3 linked regions of the Astyanax mexicanus genome follow. The protein of the gene in region 2 interacts with the protein of the main gene of each other region in a pairwise test. Links are inferred from orthologs where the notes say so. Each region holds a gene or a part of one and is shown on either strand. Other genes may lie near its edges.

Evidence for each region. The genes of interacting proteins can lie anywhere in the genome.
Region 1: the proteins of mipol1 (region 2) and cct3 interact in binary tests that used the Homo sapiens proteins (3 or more experiments, as listed by UniProt). The two-hybrid records come from large-scale screens. The link is inferred for Astyanax mexicanus from reciprocal best matches to the Homo sapiens genes MIPOL1 and CCT3.
Region 3: the proteins of mipol1 (region 2) and enkd1 interact in binary tests that used the Homo sapiens proteins (3 or more experiments, as listed by UniProt). The two-hybrid records come from large-scale screens. The link is inferred for Astyanax mexicanus from reciprocal best matches to the Homo sapiens genes MIPOL1 and ENKD1.

Annotation. Positions count from the first base shown.
Region 1 is NC_064413.1:41,352,321-41,359,546, forward strand, and holds the start of cct3 (T-complex protein 1 subunit gamma), read right to left. Parts: upstream 3,006-7,226; 5' UTR 2,926-3,005; coding exon 2,898-2,925; intron 2,240-2,897; coding exon 2,178-2,239; intron 2,076-2,177; coding exon 2,025-2,075; intron 1,449-2,024; coding exon 1,386-1,448; intron 1,294-1,385; coding exon 1,197-1,293; intron 1,031-1,196; coding exon 913-1,030; intron 486-912; coding exon 299-485; intron 1-298. Other genes in the region: pdia7 (protein disulfide isomerase family A, member 7), read right to left, coding at 5,595-5,684, 5,947-6,004, 6,114-6,193, 6,281-6,409, 6,499-6,607, 7,092-7,226. UniProt on the Homo sapiens protein: Component of the chaperonin-containing T-complex (TRiC), a molecular chaperone complex that assists the folding of actin, tubulin and other proteins upon ATP hydrolysis.
Region 2 is NC_064421.1:18,849,527-18,857,377, reverse strand, and holds the start of mipol1 (mirror-image polydactyly gene 1 protein), read right to left. Parts: upstream 3,044-7,851; 5' UTR 2,806-3,043; intron 2,448-2,805; 5' UTR 2,368-2,447; coding exon 2,273-2,367; intron 1-2,272. Other genes in the region: tyrosine-protein kinase receptor TYRO3, read left to right, coding at 6,795-6,852.
Region 3 is NC_064419.1:253,096-260,520, reverse strand, and holds the start of enkd1 (enkurin domain-containing protein 1), read right to left. Parts: upstream 3,006-7,425; 5' UTR 2,921-3,005; intron 2,506-2,920; exon of another isoform or gene 2,370-2,505; intron 2,064-2,369; 5' UTR 2,042-2,063; coding exon 1,957-2,041; intron 1,779-1,956; coding exon 1,551-1,778; intron 1,154-1,550; coding exon 981-1,153; intron 844-980; coding exon 691-843; intron 550-690; coding exon 407-549; intron 203-406; coding exon 66-202; intron 1-65. Other genes in the region: vdac3 (voltage-dependent anion-selective channel protein 3), read left to right, coding at 3,715-3,815. UniProt on the Homo sapiens protein: Microtubule-binding protein which regulates microtubule organization and stability. Promotes the stability of astral microtubules and facilitates the proper orientation of the mitotic spindle.

The DNA of each region.
Region 1 (7,226 bases), on a different chromosome or scaffold from region 2:
GTCCTTCCACAGAAAATTATACCAGAATAATATATATATTTTAAATGTTCTGGATTTCAAGAACAACTCTGAACAAAGATTAGTGGAGATCTCTCAAAAAACAAGCCTAAGTAACAGAAGGAAATTTTTAAAATATTTTTTGCTTATAAAACAACCAACCATGAGAAGGCCACAAAAAATACCACAAATAAATATCTTCAAAAACTGAGCACATGTTCACATTACAAAGGATACTTAGATTTCTGTCTGCTAAGCCAAGCATTTGATTGTGAATGTACCAAAAACATTGTCGTCCTACCTTTTCCACCTTGGCATACTTCTTAATATCGATCTCTTTGCGGCCGTTCTCCTCGAGCTCTACGGTACGCACTGCGTCCAGAGCAATGTTACAAGCCAAGCTTGACCAGCGGCTCAGTGCCTTGGTGTTGATGGCGGAGTTGATGATCTTCAGCATCATGCTACGGTCATTCTGGTCAACTGGAGTGCTGCAGGAAAGCAGTATTTTGAGGTTACTGGCGATGTCATATTCAGTGTCTGCATGAGCACGCCACTTGAGCAAACTAACGTACATACTTTCATGAATACATATGTAAACAAATCTAGCTTAACTAGCATTTAATTACAATGTGACTATAGCTGCGCATTTTTTTTTCTAGTGGAGCTGAAATGTGTTTAAGGATTTGAGCACACTACTTTTAAAATGTCCATCCACACAGAAATGCTTCAAATAAAAATACTGTTTCAGCTTAACGCTAAACAAATAAATTAACCATTTATAAACAACTTAAAGTATATCTGAATAATTGTATAATTAAAAACAAATAAATAAAGTAACAATCTACAATTATTTTACACATTCAACCTGAGACCTTTGAAAACTACAAACCAAGCACCTGCTAAAAAGGACCATACCTGATCTCTTTGAGCATGCTGAGCATGTCGTCCAGAGCCTGCCGGTAAGCACTAATCACCACTGTAGGATGCATCTGCTGCTCCAGGAACTGCTCTGCCACCGACAGCATCTCACCAGCTACACACAAACACCACATCTTATTGTACTGTAATAATGATCTTTTTCAAGCAGTCCTTAAGGGCTTTTACACTGGAAATCTGTTAACAGTAAATAAATCTGATCCCACATTCACACATAATACAAGGAGATGACAGCAAAGAGATGATGACAAGCAAACACTTACCCAGGATAATGACAGAGGTAGTACCGTCTCCCACCTCCTCATCCTGAGTGCGGCTGATCTCTATCATGGACTTGGCTGCCGGGTGCTGCACTTGGATCTGAGGGCAATGACAATGGGAGTCAAATGATGCATTATGCTGTATGTAACCAACTGCACAAACCTTAAGATCCTTTCAGAGTTCTAAAATACCTCTCTGAGAATGGCGTTGCCATCATTGGTCATGACAATACCTCCCATGGGGTCGAGCAGCATCTGCACAAATAAAAGAGGCACAACATTTAAAACCATGGATCTCACATAATTCAGGTCTAAAAAAGGAAAAGGGAGCAAATGTTTATGTAAAAAAAACATCTTATACTTACACAGAATCTCACTAAAGTAAGTTCACCCCACACATTTCTGATAATAACTAATTATATATTTTTTATGCGACAATACTATAGAAATTGCAGAAACTTGGATACAACTTAAAACTGTCGGTGGACAGCTTATATAACAGTAAACCGCTGACAACATAAATGAGTACATCTTATAATTAACATAGCCGATATTTTGTGCAAGTACTGTTATTTTCTATCACTGCCTTAATCCTCTTGGTCATGGAATTCAACAGAGCTGCACAAGTTGCTACTACAATCAGTTTTGTTTTCCACTCATCCATGATAAAATCAAATAAGATACTATTCAACTTGACCAACACAAATAAGTACAAATTAAACTATTATCGTAAAAGATGAACACAACAGAAAAAAAGTGGAAGGGTGTGGTCCACAGTATTTCATCACATGATTGGCTTAGAGCTGATGCTGAAGCCCTCAGGGTACATACCTTCATCATAGCTCTTGGTCCCAGACATGTTCTGATTACATCTGCTATGGTCTGAAATTAAATAACATGTTATAAGAGAGAGAACACATTACCTGTAACCATAGACACATGAAACAAGAGAGTCTATACACTAGATTGAAGTTGAGGACATACCTTAGCTGCGTTGATATTTCCAGTCTGGACCTTTCTTCCAGACTCTCTTTTCATATTCTGGCCTAAAGCAAGAGGAGGACACAATGGACACACTAGTTAGCTAGCTGATTGACAGATGCTAATAGTCATTATTGTAGTTGCCTAGTAAACCAAGACATCCCTCATTTCCAGACTAAGTCCTCTAATTTTCTTGCTGACAAGATTTTAAGATAGAAAATCTGTTTTAGACTCTTAAACAAACGTCAAATCCAGTTATCAGGCAAATCCAGGTGAGATTCCCCTTTAAAACAGTTACTTTTTGCAAAGTAATGTCAGGTTTGGCTAAACACCGGTAGCTAACACACACATACAACAATATTATCCACAATGAATTAATCCAGTTACCTAGCTAGCTAACATTTATAGGATAGATTACATATTCAAATATAGCTATAAAACCTGGCAAATAAATTAAGATAGCTAACAGCTAAGTAGCTAAAACAACTAAGACAGACAACACAGGCTACAATGCACTAAACTAAACTCAGCTAAGCTAAGCTAACTACTGTACGCTAAGCCGAGCCTAGCCAGTGACCATGCCATGCCCATGTTAGCCTGTTAGCCTTGCCGGCTTTTACAAAGTAAAACATCCACTAAACAGCGCAGTTCAGCGGCCCGCTGGTTCTCTCGCGCTACATTTATCACTGTACACGTTTAACAGACAAAAACGAAGATTCTCACTAAGCACGAGAACCGGGCGGCCCATCATCTTTGCAGCGTGGTTTTGTTAGCCGGCACCCAAATCCGCACGCACGATGAAGAAGAGAGAACGGGAGAGGCGGGGCCAACGACTCGCTAATGGTCCGAACCAATCAGCGATAAAGAAGCACTGACATGCACCTCTTACAACCAATCACATCATCAGCTTCAGCGTTTTAGGGCGGCGGAGTGAATAAAGAGCGGGGAAGGAGCGTTCAGGGGGCGGGGCTTAGAGAAACCTACCAGAATTTTCCGTCTGAAGGTCTTCAGGAAACAGACTAGCGGTACATATAAAGTCATGATACAGATTTTTTAAATATGACAGTATGTTTTATATTTTATTAATATTATAAAAAGATACGATTGTTAAAAATAGACTAAATTTATAATAAATATATTATAATAATAAAAAAACAGTATATAAGTTACATATGGCCCAATATGGGCTCCACAAAAAAAAAGGAAATTATCTTCATGAAGAAATTATGTATAGAGAACACAAATAATGCCCAAACAATTGTATACAATTATGAATAAATATAATCTGTATTTTCATTTTTTTAATCACATATTCATTTGAATTCTAGAAACTATTTTATTATTAATTTCATTATAGACTGTTGTTATGGGCTGTTCGTATATAAAAAAAAACCCAATCTCTTTTTTTAGACAGGTGTGAAGAAACCTAATAAATACCTTATGTTAATTGCTGATTTTGTCATTGTGAATATATAATCACTACATTTTTAATAGCAAAACAAACAAAAAATAAAGGCATGATGATAAGATTCACAGTTTCATTGTATTTTTGTATTATTATGACCTGATTCCAAATAAGACCAAGCCTACTGCAATATCAATATGTACACTACCGGTTAAAAGTTTTAGAACACTATTTTTTAATGTAATGTATTTATATATTAGAATAGTGTAAAACTATTTTATAATAATAAAAACTGAAAAAGTTATATCGAAATTTACTTATAGGATACTTTTTGGTCCATCTGTCTTAATTGTTAATAATTTGATTCTCAGTAGTATAAGCAGGCCTTTAACAACCAGTTTCTAAACTAGCTTCTTTAACAATTTTTGACACAACATAATTTAGCGTCATGTTTATTATTTTTTTGAAGACACAAGAAATCACTTAGGTACAACAAGGTATTCAGGCATAATGAGGTAGTGTAGAAGTGCCATCAGTTTTACCAACTGTCCAAAGCTAAAACCCACTCATCTGAATCCAGTTCATTTAAGACAGTGTTTAAAGAATTAGTTTAAGGAGCACGTCTTCTCAAGCCTACAGATTCCAAACTAGCACAGCAGTGTGCTAGTGTAGCTAGTGTGAAAGCCTTTAAAATACAGTAAAAACAAATTGTTAACAACAGCCAGTGGCACAATGTTTAATGTCTTAAAACATAAATACAAAGGTGTTTTATGTGGAGAAATCTGAATTGTGTTTACAATTTACAATGATGTGATATAATACCCAACCATTTAATCTTATATTTTAATCTTATACCCAATGAATTAAAATATTTTTGTTAAACACAATTTTAAACATAACATTCCTCTTAAACACACATTTTTTTCAAAGGGACCTTACATGTGATCAGAATTGGCCTGTTAAAAAATCAGGTTTGAGAAACGCACTGTAAACATTTCTTGAGGATTTATCAAAGTTCTTAATGCCTAAAATGTCATCTTAAAACATACACATATAGTTCCTGATGCATTTAGTGCCTGTCCTGGACAGTAGTGACAGTAACTCTTATAAAAGCAGCATAAACTCTTAATACTTTTCACTTTGGAAGAAATAGTGAAAGGCACCAGTACTTTTGACCTCTGCTGCTTCACAATCCCAGCCAATGTTTTCAATTTCAACTGCAATTCCAAAATGAATAGCTGATTCACAGCTGATTTATATTATAAAATTATCATCTATAAATATTTTAAAAGTCTTTTTTGTATGTATTTAAACAAAAATAAACAACATATATGTTTTGATCAGTTAGTTTGTGCCCCTATGCAGGGATGTATATTATTACAATAACATAATATCAAAACAAACCATATATGACCTGTGACTTAAAAATAATGTGAAATGCAAAAATGACATGAAACATATTTTAACTTGGAGTAGTCTTCTTATAAGAAACTTTTGTGTGGGTGATGGATGAGATATGGATCAACAGGCTAAGCTTATTAAGATAGTCCCCATGTAATGCTATAAGCTTGCCTAACCATAATAGCTTTAATATAAATAAATTATCTAGTATGAATTCATTTCAGCGCTTAAAATGTTCAGGCACATCTATTGTAAGGACGCCCTTACAGTGATACTGCACCATTAATACAACATCAGTACAACAGTTCCAAGTCTTTTCAAGTCTTAAAGCCTTCCAGTCAGTCTGATTCCAAGTTTAAGTCAGTGAAGGTAAAGTTAAAGTCTATTTGCATTTTTTATTCTGTCGAGTCGAATCAAAAAGTCATCAAATTTGTGACTTGAGATGGAAGTTACGTGAGTTGAGTTCACAACTCTGGAAACTACTATAAGCAGTGCTTGTTTCAGGCCACAATACGCTTGGAGCAGGCACTCAGTTCACAGAGCCCAATGCACAGCACATTCACTATTGTATCTCCAGCACCTGAACTCTTCTTGTTTTTGTAGTTGTGTCAAATTCAGAGGTCATCTCTTGAAGTGCTTAAGACCAGCGGATGTGTAGCCTCTTTTTTCAAGAAGCTGATGAAGTCACTAACCTCACGCCCACCCTTAAGGAGGAAATGCAATAGAAAAAGGAATAAAGCTGTATTAGTTCAGAACATATAGATATATGCTTTCTTTCTAGATGTAAAGTTCACACGCAGACCTGTATCAAGCTGAATGTATACAAATTTTGTTTTACAATTTAGATATAGTGCTTAGACAAATTAAATACATGCTAATTTAATTGAAATACTGTAAGGATAATTCTATTCTTAAATGACTCTTAAGTGTATTTTTTACAGGTTAACAGCTATAGTAAGAACATACCTCATAACGTCTTGGTTGGTCTTTTTGTCCAGCAGGTGCAAAGTAAATTGTTGGAAAGCTAAAAAACAAACAAACAAACAAACAAACAGTTTAAGGATTAATTTTATATGTTAGAATAAAAACGCAGTACGGTAATCAAGAATGCATAAGACATTAAAAAGCTTTACCCTTGTACGTCGTAGTCTAAAGGAACATCATTGGCTGTGGCATCCATCTTAGCAATGACTATGTTGGGATCACTAGACAGCTGAGACACAATACCAGATCATATTACAAAATAAGAAATATTATACTCTGACCACAAAGCAGTTAAATAAGTTTAAACATGTATTACCTTCTTTCCAAGCTCAGTATATTTAGGCTCTAAATTTTTACAGTGACCGCACCACGGAGCATAAAACTCCACCAGCACATCTTTCTCTGGGTTGTTTACAATCTCCTCAAATGTGTTTGCTACAACAACCTGTTGATGAATAAAAAAAAATACTTATTTAAAATAGAATCTGTACTACATTTAATAGGGTACTGCAGTATCTATAGGTTAATACATACTTTGACAGGACCACCGTTTGACTCGGGGGCAGCCTCCGATTTGACGTAAGGCTTTAACCGTTTGGCAAAATAATCCTCTAGGAACTTCTCCAGGGATTTACCATCTCTCCTGTGATACACAAACACAAACAAGATATACTGGGTATAAAAAAATAACATCATGATACAACACGCATGATACAACACGCAACATTATTTCTAGCAGATACATTTGGTTACTGACATTCATACCACCCCAATTGGCCAATGCCACCAATGTAACCAATGTAGCTTTTCAGGTTTATCAGTACATTACTGATACGTTAGATAAATTAATTCCAACACCTGACACTTGAAATTAAGGTAATATGTTTGGTGCCTACGCTTTAACATTTCAAGATTTTATTTATAAATAAATGGTGTTTCATTTTATTAAAAATGCATTTCTGTCTTATTTCCCTCATCCATAATTGAAAGAGCAGCAAAAAATCTTTCTTTTAGATTCCCTACTGAGAGTCCTACTAAAAGGCTGCACAGAAATCAACTGCATCTACTAATTGGTGACAGATTTTTATCTGTCTGCACTCAGAGAGTTATTTTTAAAAGATACATACGTGAACTCCTCCTGCATGGTGTACTTTTGTCCTGCTCTGGTCCTGATGGTGATGACAGGCAGCTCTCCTCCAGAAAGCCCCAGCCCAAACTCCTCCTCCAGCTCGTCCAGGAAGTCTACCTGATCTGCCACAGCA
Region 2 (7,851 bases):
TTTGTGTATTTTTTTTTCCTATAGGAATGAATGGGATGCACAACGTTTGCTACTCTAGCTATGATACAAAAACTTTGGTCAAAAACGGCTGCAGATCTATCGCTAAACTCTCCATCACCAAGTCATTCCACCACATAGTTCCTTTAGCAACAACAAATGCTAATACTGTACTTTAGGTCATGGTTAAATCCAGTCTGCTCCATTTGCTCCATTATCACTGTATGTACTCTCTCGAGGGGTATCTGGTTAGTGGTGCCAAAAGTCTTTACTCTGCTTGGACTATGTATGTTTGAGCCAGAAAATAGAGCAAAGCCAGCAACAACCTATCAACTACCTGGAATACCACAGCAAGCACATAGCAACCACACAGCAATGCCATAACAGTTACATAGCAACACAATACAATACAGCATGTAGCAACACTTGGCAAAACCTTAGAAACTACCATCTACCAATATCATGGCAACACAATAGGAAGTATCTGGAATACCATAGCAACCACTTACCATACACAGCATTTATTGGATTATTATAGCAACAAAATCACAGCTGCCTGAAAAATGGAACAACTTTTACTGTACAACCATAACGAAGTTACCATAAACTATTGGTTTATTCCAAGGCATAAAAAGGGTTAGAGAACTGTTTGGCAACCGAACATGTTCCCCAGAAAAAACGTTAATAAATTAAAAGACTGAATAGTTTATATTGAACAAGGAGGCGTTTATTTAAAGTCATTGTTCAGTGTTTTCTTTAACAGATGAACAGGTATTTTAAGTGGCAGCAGCAGCAGAACTTTGCAGTAGTAAAAAAGTGGCAAAATGAATACAAATCCGAACAAAGAATTTGGGGTTCACAGACCCACAACTGTTAAAACTGGAGCTCCAGAAAATTAATTAAATGCAAGCAAAACATTAGAGCACATTTACAAAGCTATCAAACACAAAGTAACAAAAAACACCTGTTCTGAGGGACAAAGAGAGGTTGAAAAACATTTCAAGTATTCAGGATCTGTACTTTTAAACTAGCAATTAATTAGTACAGGTTTGGCAGGTAATGCTCATCATAAGGAAGCTGCATATTATAATTCTGGGGCATGATACGTTTCTTAAATGGCAAACCTTGAGTTCTCAATAACTTTGGACTTCTCTTAGCAGCTAACTGATGTCCACAAAGCAGGGCAAGCGCATAAAAAAGAATTAAAGTGCTCTCAGCTGATAAATTAATTCAATAGCAGTTAAGGAAACTGTGGAAGTCAATGTTAGCAAGAAAGGTGAAACAAATCCGCATGTGATAGCAACGCCCTTCACGAAGGTTAAAGCGACGCAGGAGTGGAGATGCACTATTCTACTGTGCAGTGTTCTTTAATAGAACAGTGAAGAGAAGGACATCTTACAAGCAAACTCCTCACAACAATTAAATTTCTGCAAGGTGAGACATCTGTGAAAATAATTTGCTATTACTATTTTTCTATACTTTTTCAGTTCATGAAATGAGATTTGAGTAAAAGCTCAAGTGCTTTATCAAAAATGGACTTAAGTAGTAGATGAAGTGTTCTTTAAGCATCACACTTGCGGAAGTATTTAAGTACTCAACATCTTTTGTAAAAAAGAATAATTACCCAGTAGAGTGCAGGTACACATTTTAGTGCAGCAATTATACTTCTTTAATATACACCTCTGTGAAATATAAAATAATGGTGCTTTACTTTTACATTGAATTCTTTCACAAAAAAAGCATACAGCCATAGTGGAGGTGCATGTGGGGGCATTCATCAAAATGAAAATAGTTCATACTTTTTGTTGTCAGATACCACTACTTACATACATACATACATTTTGGAAGCAGACCCTAGTAATTCTATTACACAATGAACAATTTCACATCAAAACCCTAAAAGTCTTTGTTTAGACAATGTAATGTAAATATATTTGTCTCAAGTGATTTATATATAAGTTAAATATTATAAAGACACTACACACTAACAATCAACACTGTTGGTATTACTAGCTGGCTTGCAGTGTTGGTCAAATGTGTTAAATACTCTTAATTATTACAATATCCCACAAAAGAAGCCAAGAAAACAAATAAGATCCCTTAAGTTCAGTTTGAGACTCAGTTAGTGCAAAAAAAGGAACAACCAATAAATTTATAACCATAGCTCCACTAGACCAAACGTCTGCTGTGTGTGTGTCTGTGTGTTTTACTCAGTCTTTCTTTTTTCTTGTTTCACACCGAGCTTCAGAAAGTTGTTAAACACTCCAGCACTCACCTCGCACAATACAGCTCATTCTCCAGACTTGATATTTTATGTTTCGCCCTTTGGACAGCGCTTTTAACGTCGTGTGCCATGCTCCTTAAATTCATGAGTCAGAACTGAAAGATAACTCTATCTGACAGCAGGACTTTACACGCAGCGTCTCCGTTTACACTTAACCTACAGGCAACTTGATACACAGGAGAGAAACAACAAACCCCCTTTGGACGGGGAGCCGGTGACACACAAGCAGAGCACAAAATAAAACACGTATAAAGTTTTAGCAACCAGTTTTACTAAGTTAGCTAAGTTAGCTCACCTAGCTTACTAACTTAGCTTCACTGCTAGCTCAGTTGGCTAGCTAGTTAGCTAACTAACGTTACAACAATACCACACATAACCTGTGATTTCGTTCACTAGTTTACCTAGTTAACTACGTTCACTGTCAAAACTTATTTGTGAGCAAGTTATTATTCCGTTTATGAGCTGAATATCAAAGTGAAAGTTAGCATTCAGTGACTCGCAATCAACATGGCTTTGTAACTTACCATGGAAACCACGGCGAGCATGGCTGACTTTCTGTGTACGTTACCTACACTACTGTGTAAAAGTCACGGAGAGACTTCCTACAGTACAGCCCGGGACAGGCTCCGGATCACAGCCCAGAGGAGAGCAGTGGGGGAAGTGAACAGAGCAGAAAACCTGATGATACGCGATCTGTCCACTAGAGGAGGACAGACGATGGGTTTTGGAAAACGCTCATCTCAAACTAGGTCTGGGCGAATCTCAAACGACCTATCGCTCCCTATATAATCACCAGCTACCTAGTGCACTACACAAGGTTTAAGGGTCCTATGGGTAAATTTCAGTATAACCTGCATTTTGTCTCTAAAGCATAGTTTTTGAAATTGATTACACCAATCTGTAACAATACAACTTTCTCTGAATAAACACATTTTAGAAACATAGAGGAATGTTAACCTTCACTCTAGATCGTGTACATTATATATATATTTTTTATGTAAGCATGTGCTTTTGGCAACGATTCTTTTTAATAATCCTTTAAAGTGTTTAACTAACCCAACAAACCCTTTTTTATTTTTAACATGCTTTTAAATGATTTATACATTTCAGTTATTTGTATTTGTTATTTGTAGCTGCTGCATGTTTAACAGATATGTGACTTTACAACCTTCACACTGTTTTATTTATAAGGAACTGAAGACACATGCTGACTGCTCAGGAATTAATAATATTAATTAAATCTAATATTTTTCATATTGTTACCTTCCTAAAATAACCACCTACATAAAATTTCCTACACCCTCAGCTGAACAGATCATTTGATTCTACACCTTTAGGATAATGTCACAAGTGTGGCTAATTTATTAAAACTAGGTCTAAATAAAATGTGACTTAAGCAATTTTAATAGCTTTCCAAGATTTAGCTAACTTCATTAACTAATTTACACAATGCAGGGCTCATCCCCAATTGATAAGGGATGAGATTTGTACTCTAACATAAAGTTTTATTGAGTTTAATTAGTCTGCAATTTTAGTAATTAATAATTACCCTCTATATGCTGTAAACAGCCATTATGAATTTATGTATGTATTTGTAAAATAAATAATAACTGTGTCTGAAACTTAGGAAATGTTGTTTACTCCGAGACTGGAAGTCAAAGTACATATTTTTCTATTTTTATTATTTAAGATGGAAATTTAAAAACATTACAACTAAACTTAGCACTAAACTACAGCAACTAACATTAGTGCAATACATGATGTGGACGTAACATTATGCCGATAGACATACTCTACAGTGTTTATGTTGTGGATTCAGGACAAGCTTTCATCCACAGCTTTTACACCTAACCCCTCTTTTGTCACCACAGTTTTTAAATGTCTGGCACTTACACACTGACACATCATGAAACAAGTGGGAATTAATCAAATACTAGTTGGATGTCCTCCCTCCCCCAAGTAACACAGACTTGGTTACAGCCATTATATTTTTGTGCATCTCATATTTGATCAGATATATGTGGGGGTGTTCTAAAACATCTGACCTGTAGTGCATTTCTATTACTATTACAATTCTATTACTATATTTTAGTGCCATTTAATCTCATTTAAAATCTTGCTAATTACTTACTAATATTAATGACTAAACTTAAAAACATGAAATGCCATCTATCGATATGACATCAACAATGTCATATTAATACCATGCTCTTCATCTCTGAAAAGAGAGATTACTGGGCTCCAACAGCATAAAGATGAGTGTACAAGTTTTTATCTCATATAATCTTGTCCTCTCCTTGTCCTAAGAACAATCAGTCTCTAGCAGTTGAATAATCTTCATGCCTTTTAAAGTCTCTGAAAAAGTTGAAAAGAAATGAGTGATTAGAAAATGTCTCTACACAACCTTACGCTATGTGAAACGGTCATGTAGGCCATTCTGAGGAGAGTTTAGTTTGTTTTCCTGTAGCTCATACTCTTGTGGTCAAAGCTCACATTATTGTTATTTTTAGTTTTGCCCAGCACAAGAAAAGTGTACTGATAAGAGCAGAACATCTCAGTCCTATAAAAATCATAAACAGCTTCCAGCAAAAACATCTTCAAGGCCTGAACAGATGAGGCCTGAGAGATGATAAAATGCCTTTATTTGTCTGCTCATCAAATCATAGAAATAAAGAAGGTCAAGATGACAACGAGAACATATTGTAAGACAATTATTTAGTATGTTTCTAAGGACATTTATGTTTAAATATATTCTTACTTTTATGTGTTTCTATCTATCTATCTATCTATCTATCTATCTATCTATCTATCTATCTATCTATCTATCTATCTATCTATCTATCTATCTATCTATCTATCTATCTATCTATCTATCTATCTATCTATCTATCTATCTCTGTTGTGTACACTTATTTAGTGTGGCTGCTTCTCTTCCTGAGAGGAGATCCTGTTCCAAATTAGAAGGTACTTTATGGTAAGTTCCAGCCCCTAGGTCTACGATCACTACCTACTTATTTCCTCCCTTATCAAATAATGGGAACAAGCCTTATTTACTGAATATCTGCTTTGCAAATTCTAAACATTTGATGAGAGCATTACTGTTATTTATTTTTGCCATTTGATAGTGATGGATTTTCTCTTAAAGGAAACCACATTTAATGATAACGTTATTTAGTGTGGGGTTTTAGGGTACAGTGTACAAAAAATGTAAATGCAAACTGATATGTACAGATTTGTTTGTCAATGGCCTAGAGGTCCTATAGCTAGGAAAATAGCTATAAATATATTTAACATGGTACGTATGGGTTAACTGTTTTTCCACCACTTTTTTTCAAACATGTTACTAGACACACAATTTGTGCTAGCCTCTTGTGGCCTGGTTCTAAGCAAACATTTGGCCTTGGATTGTTGGTACACTTGGCAACTACCAGGCCCTACTCTTCAGTTGAGATTTTAGGAACTGCCATGTAGAGAAAATCAGTTAAATTATTTATTTGTGCATATTTATGCAGTGATTTCTATATACTTATAAAGCTCTGGAAAAAAATAAGAGACCACTTTAGTTTCTGAATCAGTTTCTCTGATTTTGATGATTTATAGGTATATGTTTGGTTAAAATGAACATTGTTGTTTTATTCTATAAACTACGGACCACATTTCTCCTAAATTCCAAATAAGAATATTGTCATTTTGAGCATTTATTTGAAGAAAATGAGAAACGGGCAAAATAACAAAAAAGATGCAGAGCTTTTAGACCTCAAATAATGCAAAGAAAACAAGTTCTTAATCAAATTAAGAGTTCAGAAATCAATATTTGGTGAAATAACCCTGGTTTTTAATCACAGTTTTCATGCATCTAGGCATGTTCTCCTCCACCAGTCTTACACACTGCTTTTGGATAACTTTATACCACTCCTGGTGCAAAAATTCAAGCAGTACAGCTTGGTTTGATGGCTTGTGATCATCCATCTTCCTCTTGATTATATTTCAGGGTTTTTTAATTTGGTAAATTCAAAGAAAATCATTTTAAGTGGTCTCTTATTGTTTTAGAGCTGTATATCGTTTGCCCTCTGTAAGAGCTGGGTTTGAGGTGGTGGCTGGATCCACTGAGTTTTGGTGTTTTTTCAGCAGATGGTCTCTAGAGGGCATTGTGTGGGATTTCACACATTCCCCCACAGCGCTGAAACATTTGGAAGTGTGAGGAGCTCCGTCCAGTTTCCTTTACTGAACCAAGACCGTGAAGCCGGGATGTTTGGATACTGCTCGGCTGTGTGTGGAGTATGGAGAGTGTTCAGGCGGGGATGAGGTCTGAGCGGGGTTCTGCTGCTGCTGCTGCTGGCTGCGTTGGAGACTCTGGGGACGGGACTGTGGAGCTGCTGCTGCCGCTGTTCGGCACTTGCTGCTGCGAATACCGAGTAAATTAGCGATTCAGCAACCGCGCCTGTTTAAAGTTGCTGGTCTTGTTGATTCAGCTGAGGTGAAGCGACCGAGTCGCGTTTCAGAGGATGCTAAAATGGGAATTAAGTTTTGGATAATATTTATCCTCGTTCATTATAGTGAAGGAGTTCACGGTAAGTTTGTTCAAAATTGTGTGGATAAATAATGATAAACAGAGTGTAAACAATGTTAATGAATAGCCCACTTAACTTAACTAGTTAGTTAACGTTAGCTAAGCTAAGCTAAGCTAGCTAGGTTAACTAACTTAGATAAGCTAGTTACCAAATTAGTTCGTTTTTGTTTTTTTTGTTAAATTGAATTTATACATTCAAGTACATTTATAACAAGTAACTTAAACAAAAAATAAAGACACCTCAAGTTAGGTTAGCTAGGTTGGCTAACTAACGTTAGATAACTTTAACGTTAAGTTACTTGTTGGAAACCGCAGCAGCAGCAGCAACAACAACAACAGCCTGGTTTACCCTCTGGACTGTATTCAAGCAGAATTATAGCTTTATAAAAGAAACCAGCAATCTAAAATAATCCTGCAGTCCATGCTGAATGGGCTTTAAAAAAATAATTATTAGGTTACCTTTTCTTTTATAAAAAATAGATCTTTTTTTGCATATACATAAAAAAATCTTCATTTTTTATTCGGCATCACAGTGTTTGTTTAACATTGAATCTGTCATCTAGCTAATAGTGTCCCCACATTAGTTCCTCCATAGGCAGTGAATGTAGGCATTGATTAGGCTGTTCTGGCTGAAGCTGCAGCACTGTAGAAGCCAGCTGTAGTCTGCCTCCACACTGGAGAGCTTTCATCCTTCTGCAGCTTGCATTACGTCTGCTAGCCTCAGTCAGAGCATGGGCACTGGAACAGGTCTGTGCAGTGGTTTTGGCACAATGGAGACCACAGATTTGGGTACAAAAGCTTCTAAAGCTGTGAAAATGCAAACTTGTAACATGTTTGGTGGTATTCGAAACAGAAAGGTCTGCAAAACTAAGGTATTTTATCTTATTGTGATAAATTATGTGAACAATACACTTAATGTTGATTTTCTTTTGGATTTCTTCAACACTGACCAACTGTATTTTTTTTTTTATTTAAAAAAAAAGAGTGCATACATCATCAT
Region 3 (7,425 bases), on a different chromosome or scaffold from region 2:
GCTTAATCTCTACACGGTAGTTGTCTACAGGTCTAGCTGTAACTAGAGCTTTGGCGAAAACATACTTTCTCTGAGTGAATTTAGAGTTTCTCTCCTCTCTCTGTCGGACATCTGAGTGTGTCCAGCAGGTGCAGACGGGTCAGGAGCGTTCCTCCGTCTCTCTTCTGCCTCTCTCCTCCACTGCTCCTTTCTTTCTTCCAGACTAAAACAAAGGAGAGAGAGAGGAAGAGAGAAGCAAAAATTAAAAAACATACCAATGACCAATCACACACACTGATATGGGCAGATACTGTAAATACTGTAATAAAGAGACAATGCTCCAATCATGCTTCTGGGTTTGTTTTAACTCTCAGTCAATATGTATGTTCTATGATCTGTGTTAAATATATTTGATATGATCACTCACTACTGGGGGACTCGGCCCTTCACTGCGCTCGGCGGCTGCTTGTTGTTCAGGTCCTGTAGAGACTGAGAGCGTTTCAGTGCGGTCTTTCTCGCAGCGCGTGCATTATGACTCACAAAGTCAACAAAGTGTCCTCTCACCTCCATCTACACCAGGAGATATCAGATATTCATTTTTAATAACATGAAAACACAGTTGTATACGAAATTAACTGCATTCGCTTCAGTTATAAGCAGTTTTCTATAAACAGTGTAAGTGTGTATGTTTATAGGAATGTGTGAGTTTACCTCTGGATCTGCTGTTTGAGGTTTTTGCCCGTTTTCAGAGGGTGATGCCGACACAGACTGAGGCCGACTAGGTTGAGGCCGACCCCCCGCCCCACACACAGAGTGAGCTCTTAGGAAGTTCTGGCATTCTGCCTTTTTGGGGTGGCTTTTTTCCTTCAGACAGAAGTACAGAAAGAGATAACACAAGCACACAAAGTTTATAAACTATACAATATACATTACTCTATTACTATACATTAATGCTGAACAACAATTCCATTCAATTCCATCCAAAAAAATGAAATACTTACTTGTAACTGGGCCATGACCCTGGAGGGGATGTCCTGGTATTTGGGAGAGCTCCACAGGGCTTTGACAGGAACCGGCTTTGCTCGCTCTTTCTGCGCCTCCTGCTCACGGAATCGTCTCTGGATCTCACGCAGCCGTCGCACGTTCTCTTTCCCATAATCCTGAGCTGCAGGTTCTGAGGAGAAAAATAAGAGAGAAAACTTAACATGTAACTTCTTTTGTGAAGCATTTTTTTCCTTTTTTTGAGTTTTTGTTGCACCTTAAATGCAGACACAGTTATATTAATATTCAGAGTAAAGGAAAATCAATCCATTTAATTTTTAGAATAAAAAATCCTTTTTAAAGTGATTTCTGATACTGAAGTTGTGTAAAAGTGTGAGAAGCACAGCCGATGTGTATGTTTTATTACATGTACACTGTTTTTTGTGTTATGGACTGAGCTAAACCTGAAATTGTAACTGAAATGTACCTTAATGAATTGATATTGAATCAAATAGGGATATTTTAAATCAGAATTGATGATTTACAGTGGATTTAGTAAATCAGTGGTGATCCCCAGCTTTAAATCTTACTGTGTTTAACAGGGGGGGGCTTCAGGCAGACTCCCTCCAGTTTAAGGAGAGCCCCCACCTCTCCTTTCTGGCTTCTTTCTAGAATGTGTTTGGCGTTTGGGCCGATGCGAGGAGGAGGATGAGCGGGGCGGGCGCTGTAACAGCCTGGATGCAGAGCAGGGTCTGGGGCTAAGGGTCCATTTAGAGTTAAAGATCCACTTTTAGAATTCCCCTCCAGACGACCCCGAGCTTCATAGACAGGAAACATTACAGTACATAACATTACATTAAGATAAGACACAAAGGAAATAAATGATTGATGAAAAAACTGATCACAGTCACCATCTGACATCAGTATGAACACAAATACAGTTTTAGAGATGTTTTATTATGGTGTTGTTTGGTGAAATAACTTCCAAATCCCTACCAGAAGTAGGTCGTCTGTAGTATTCGGGGAAGAGGGAGGGGTCTGGTGGAATGGGCCCAGAGATCATCGAAGGTCCTTCACACATGATTTCTCCAGTCCCTTAATTCCTAAACCAAGAGTTACAATGGTAGAAGAACATGATGAGGACGGTACCTAGAGAGCAGCGTCTGATCAACACCAGACTATAGGAGTTACAACACAAATATGTTTACAAGTAGAATAAAACTAAGATACCACTGTACAAAGTGAATACACACACACTTCAAAAACTAAAATCTGTTTAGTATGAGGGTATTTTTCTTCTAAATTTCATCTTGTGTTCAGTACCAGTCTGGACACAGGCTTTCTCTTTGAGTTCAGATCTGCAGACTCTTGTTTTTTTTAATCTCAGTATCTTCATGATTTAGAGTCACCTGGAATAGTTTTCTCAGCATCTTGAAGGAAGGAGTTCCTGGAGGTGCTGAACAATAGCTGCTGCTTTTCCTTCACGCTGTGAAGCTCCAGCTCATCCCAATTAAATCACCTCAAATCACCATCTCAGATCATCAGCTTTAGATCAGGAGATTAATGTGGAGGAATAACACTTTTTTACTCTTTACTACAGAGTTATATATATTAATCTCCAACATACATTCAAATTATTGAATAAATACATTTAATAAATAAAGAAAGACATTGAATAGTACTGTTTATAATATTTATCTAATATATTTATTATAACATATAACAATGCACTATACTTATATTCTCGGGGTTAATACGGTGTTAAATGTATATAGAATAGATATAATGTATATATAACAGATAAAAGCTAGCTGTGTGAGCGCTGTGCTAAACCGCGGGTCCGGATCAGAATTACTCAGCGGTGTATAAATTAACCCTGAACCCGGATAACAGTAGGGCTGATTAATAACAGGCTGATTAATAACAGGCTGATTAATAACAGGCTGATTAATAAAGTTACCTGTAATTTAAACGCGTTTTCGGTTCAGTCCGTTTTCAGCCCCGTAAACACACCGCCTGATGACGCAGCAAGCCGAGTCTATCTCCATGGCAACGGCTTAAAGACACAGCGCCGCTTTTCCCCCTCTTTAATAATTATTACATTTTTAAAACATTGTAACAGTTTTATTTGCATTAATTGCGATTAATAAATGTTGCTTAATGTTAAAAGCGGTAACATTAACAAAGATTAAAAACACAACAAAATAATAATAAAGAAATACTTTAATACGGAGCCCCTAAGGAGACATCATGTTAAAAATAATAATCAATTTATTTTTAAAAATGATGTAACATGATGTCACATTGTGGGCTCCATACATTTTCTTTATTTTAATATTATAATTTTATTAAATTGTAGATCATTGTAGAAAACTATCATCTAGGAACTAGGACAATTTTTTTAAGATAAAAGTAACGTTACAAAAAAAGCACCATATTAGAAAATACTCTCAGCAAAAGCGTAGGTAGGATATGTGGATAGGCTAAATCACTGTATAAAGTAAAGTCCAAAAGTGAATGTCATATACGTGATTAGAAACTATATATTTTTATTGTTTTACTGTTTATTTGTTTCTTTTTTCTTTAGGAATTCTAGGAATTATCGTGACATAAACATAAAACATTATAAACATTACCATATAAAAATGTTGCGGTAAAGAAGCACATATTGATAGGTAGCATAACTCGACAGAACATCGTTTATTCCTAATATCTACTCGGGATCGGATAGGCGGGAGAGTGAGAGGAGTGCGCATGCGCGGCGCGTCCTGCCCTCTCCGCCTGTTTCTCCTTCAGTGTGTCCTCCTCTCTCAGAACCGGAGTCCCGCAGCCCGGAGACCGGAGACCAGAGCACGGTAAGAGCCCGAGCAACACCCGCCCTGCGTCTGCAGAGGGTTTACTGTGCAGGCCTGCAAACAGACAGACAGAGAGATATAGAGAGACAGTCAGAGAGAAAGACAGGGACAGGAGGACAGGGAGACAGCAGGGCTCTTACCGAGGCCGCGCCACCGTTACAGCTCCCGTACTCCTGCCCCGTGCACTAACCGAGCTCAGCCCTGCAGCGCCTGCAGGTTCTCCGGTTCTCTGGTTCTCTGTGCGCGTGCTGGGTGTGCGTGTGAATGCTCACACTGCTTATTAAGCTTAATTATCTTATTTATTTTATTTATAGAGATTATTTGTGTAGTATAGTACACGATATCGCTGCTATAGTGTGAGATAAGAGGTTTATTCAGGGCCTGCCTATCTGCAGTCTCCTGTTTTATATTTGACAGCTGAGGTAATTTATTAATTTATTCGTATATAAAAGCTCAACTCCACAAAAACACGCAGTGATATTTATCTTTCTCTGCTCCTGTTTATTCTCTGATGTAACGGAGAGCAATTAAATAATCCCCCCCTCCTCCTCTCGCCTATTAGCCTATTGTGTGCATGCAGGACCGGTGTTGTGTCGATTTTTGCTACCTTGTCAAACCGTGCTACCCTAGTGTATATTTAACTGTACAAATACAAAATAAGCTTTATATTAGAGCATGTTCGCAGTGAAAGTCCCAGTAGATGTAGGTTAGTATATTTGTATAGCATTAATCACTGTATCATGGTAAAGTTAATTTAAAGGCAATGAGAGGTAATTTACAAAACTGCTTATGTATTTTTTATATATATATATTTTTTTATAATTATTAACTTCCTTTTACACCTTTGTGCAATAACAGTGAGTTCAGATTGTAACAGATTAATTGTAAAAAAACAAAAGCACGAGAAATAATTAAAACGCGCTGGTTAGCGCATGCGCAGTGCCTTTAGGAAGCACGTATCGACGGGTAGCATAAATCGACAGAACACCGGCCCTCTATGAAACAGCCCAGAGCTGCCTCTGATACTTTACTCACAGTAAACTGCAAAATAACGTATTATCTGAACGTTAGAATATATTTTACATATAAACTATATGTACATTATTTGGGTCTTTTTATTCTCTATAGCTACGGTACATGTTTCTTGTGAGCATGCGCATTACAGTGGGCTGTAAAAGAAGGACAGCAGAGCTGCTGTGTGTGTGTACAAGTGTGTTAGTGTGTAATGTGAATGTGAATATGTGGGTTCAGATGCAATTACTGTATATCAACAGCAGAAACCTTAATTTCACTGTTTCCAATACATTAGCATTAGCTTTTTTTGTATTGATCAGTATTGATTACGTTAGATACAGATATGCAATATAGATTAGGGCTGCAAAATATTGGAAAAAGGCAACTGCAGTATATTGTTAATCTCCTGTATAAATGGCAATATTAAAAATTAGGAATGCACAATGAACCAATACTGAATATTAAACCAATACTAATGTATTTATTATGTGCCAAAAAAGACCAAGAAACACTGGCCTGTTACAGCTACAACATCTCTCTGTAAATATATATGTTTATTGGCATCCGAAGAAATATACGTTTAATATCCGTTTTTTACAATTTGTACCCTGACATTAATGATTTCCTTTTTATTGACAAGTTGGGCACAATAAATGATTTAAAAATATTCTTAATCTTAATATAAGGGTATATTACCATTATTATGCTATTTTATATTATTGTGCAATTGGCATTAAATTGTCTTATCAAAAATATTGAAGAGATACATTTATTGTGACAGACCTAAAAGCAGTACAAATATTTATTTTATATCAATCAAGTTTCATTTTCCTTACACGCCATTGCATGCCCTGCATGTGACTATTGCATGCTTATAATATAATAATATAAGTAATTTATGTGATGGCTTCAGATGTATGATCAGAATCAACTTTGTATTTGTTGGATTTTTTTCTGTCACTCTGAAGGCATGGCTTTTCCACAGAAGAGGTAAATATTACAGGAGTTTGTTGTAGTTTCGTATTGTGGTTAGAGATGAGTGGTGTAGAACTGAACATGTGAATTTAATAGAAATGTGGGTGATGAGAAGTACAGTTATATTAGGGATTTATGTATGATATAATCTGAGTTTTATCAGAAGTAAAATATTTTACAAATATATGTTGGAAAAAGTAGCGGCACGTTTAGACATTGCTGTCATAAAACATATTAAGCAGGTACTGTATATACATCATTATACTAAATATTTTTTTATTATTATTAGTCCACAATTCCTAGTTCAGAGGAATTGGACTGATGCGCTGTAGTTAAATGCAGCATTTTTATTGTTTCCTAATAAAACTATAGAAACATATTATGACTAGGAGTCAGTTATATGGCCCTAATTCAGGCTCAGTGGTGTTTGTGTGTGTTTGTGTGTTTGATCAGGTTTCAGTAGTACGGTAGCAGTGGGTGTGTTATAGTAAATGTGATTGCTTAATATCTTTCTAATTCTGTAACGCTCTGACCTTATCCCCTCCCTCACACACACCACACACTACCCCTCACACACTACCCCTCACACACACCACACACTACCCCTCACACACTGCCCCTCACACACCAGCCCTCACAGGTCATTGTTAGACCAGCGTATATAAAGCTCTGCTGTACCTGAAGCAGGAGAATCATCACCCCTCAGTTTCAGCCTGTCAGCAGCTCTGATACTGAATTATTACTCAACACTAAAACCTGCTTCAGTTAAACTCAGAGTTCAGCAGATACAGATACTGATGTGTCAGCAGCTCACACTCCTCCTCCTTTACCCATAACACCTTCTTCTTCTGTCTCAGACTCAGACTGGAGCTTTACTCTCCTTTTATATCTATTAATATAATATAATATCTGTTCATTGGTAGATATCTGATACTGATCTGATATAGGATATAGAGATCAGGCTGATTGAGACTGGGGCTGTGACGGCTCTTTATCAGTCTTGTGCTGAGATGATCTCATCACTAGAGTATTAGTGTGTGATTCTGTCCTCCAGGTGGTGGATGTTATATTATTCATACTAATATCAGTATTAGTATTCGTATAGTATGTAATCTCGACTGAAATTAAGGTGTGTACAATTTATATAAATGTTGGCCATATCATCCTACAGGTGAGTGGGAGCAGGTCAGGTAAAGGAATCACTGTTTGATCAGTGTGTTGAGTGTAGAGGTGGGCGATATGGTCCTAAAATAATATCACAGTATTGGTATTTTTAGCGATAACGATACTCCTGGCGACTCTATGACAAAACACTGAAAAAAATATTTTAACAATACACTACTGCAACAGAATGAAAATTTAATTTTATTATTACATATGATATTATATGATATGATATGGCACACCCTTAACTGAGATATTAAAAAATACAAGAATTTTTTTTCAGATTTGTAACAGAAGTCGATGATCCAGAATATCATGATAATAATAATAATAATAATAATAATGCACTCCAAATATCTCCATATATCGTTCACCATATTAAAAACTGTTGGTGATATTATTGTGTATGATATGATATGGAACCCCCGTAGTTGAGTGTAGGGCAGGATGTGTGAAA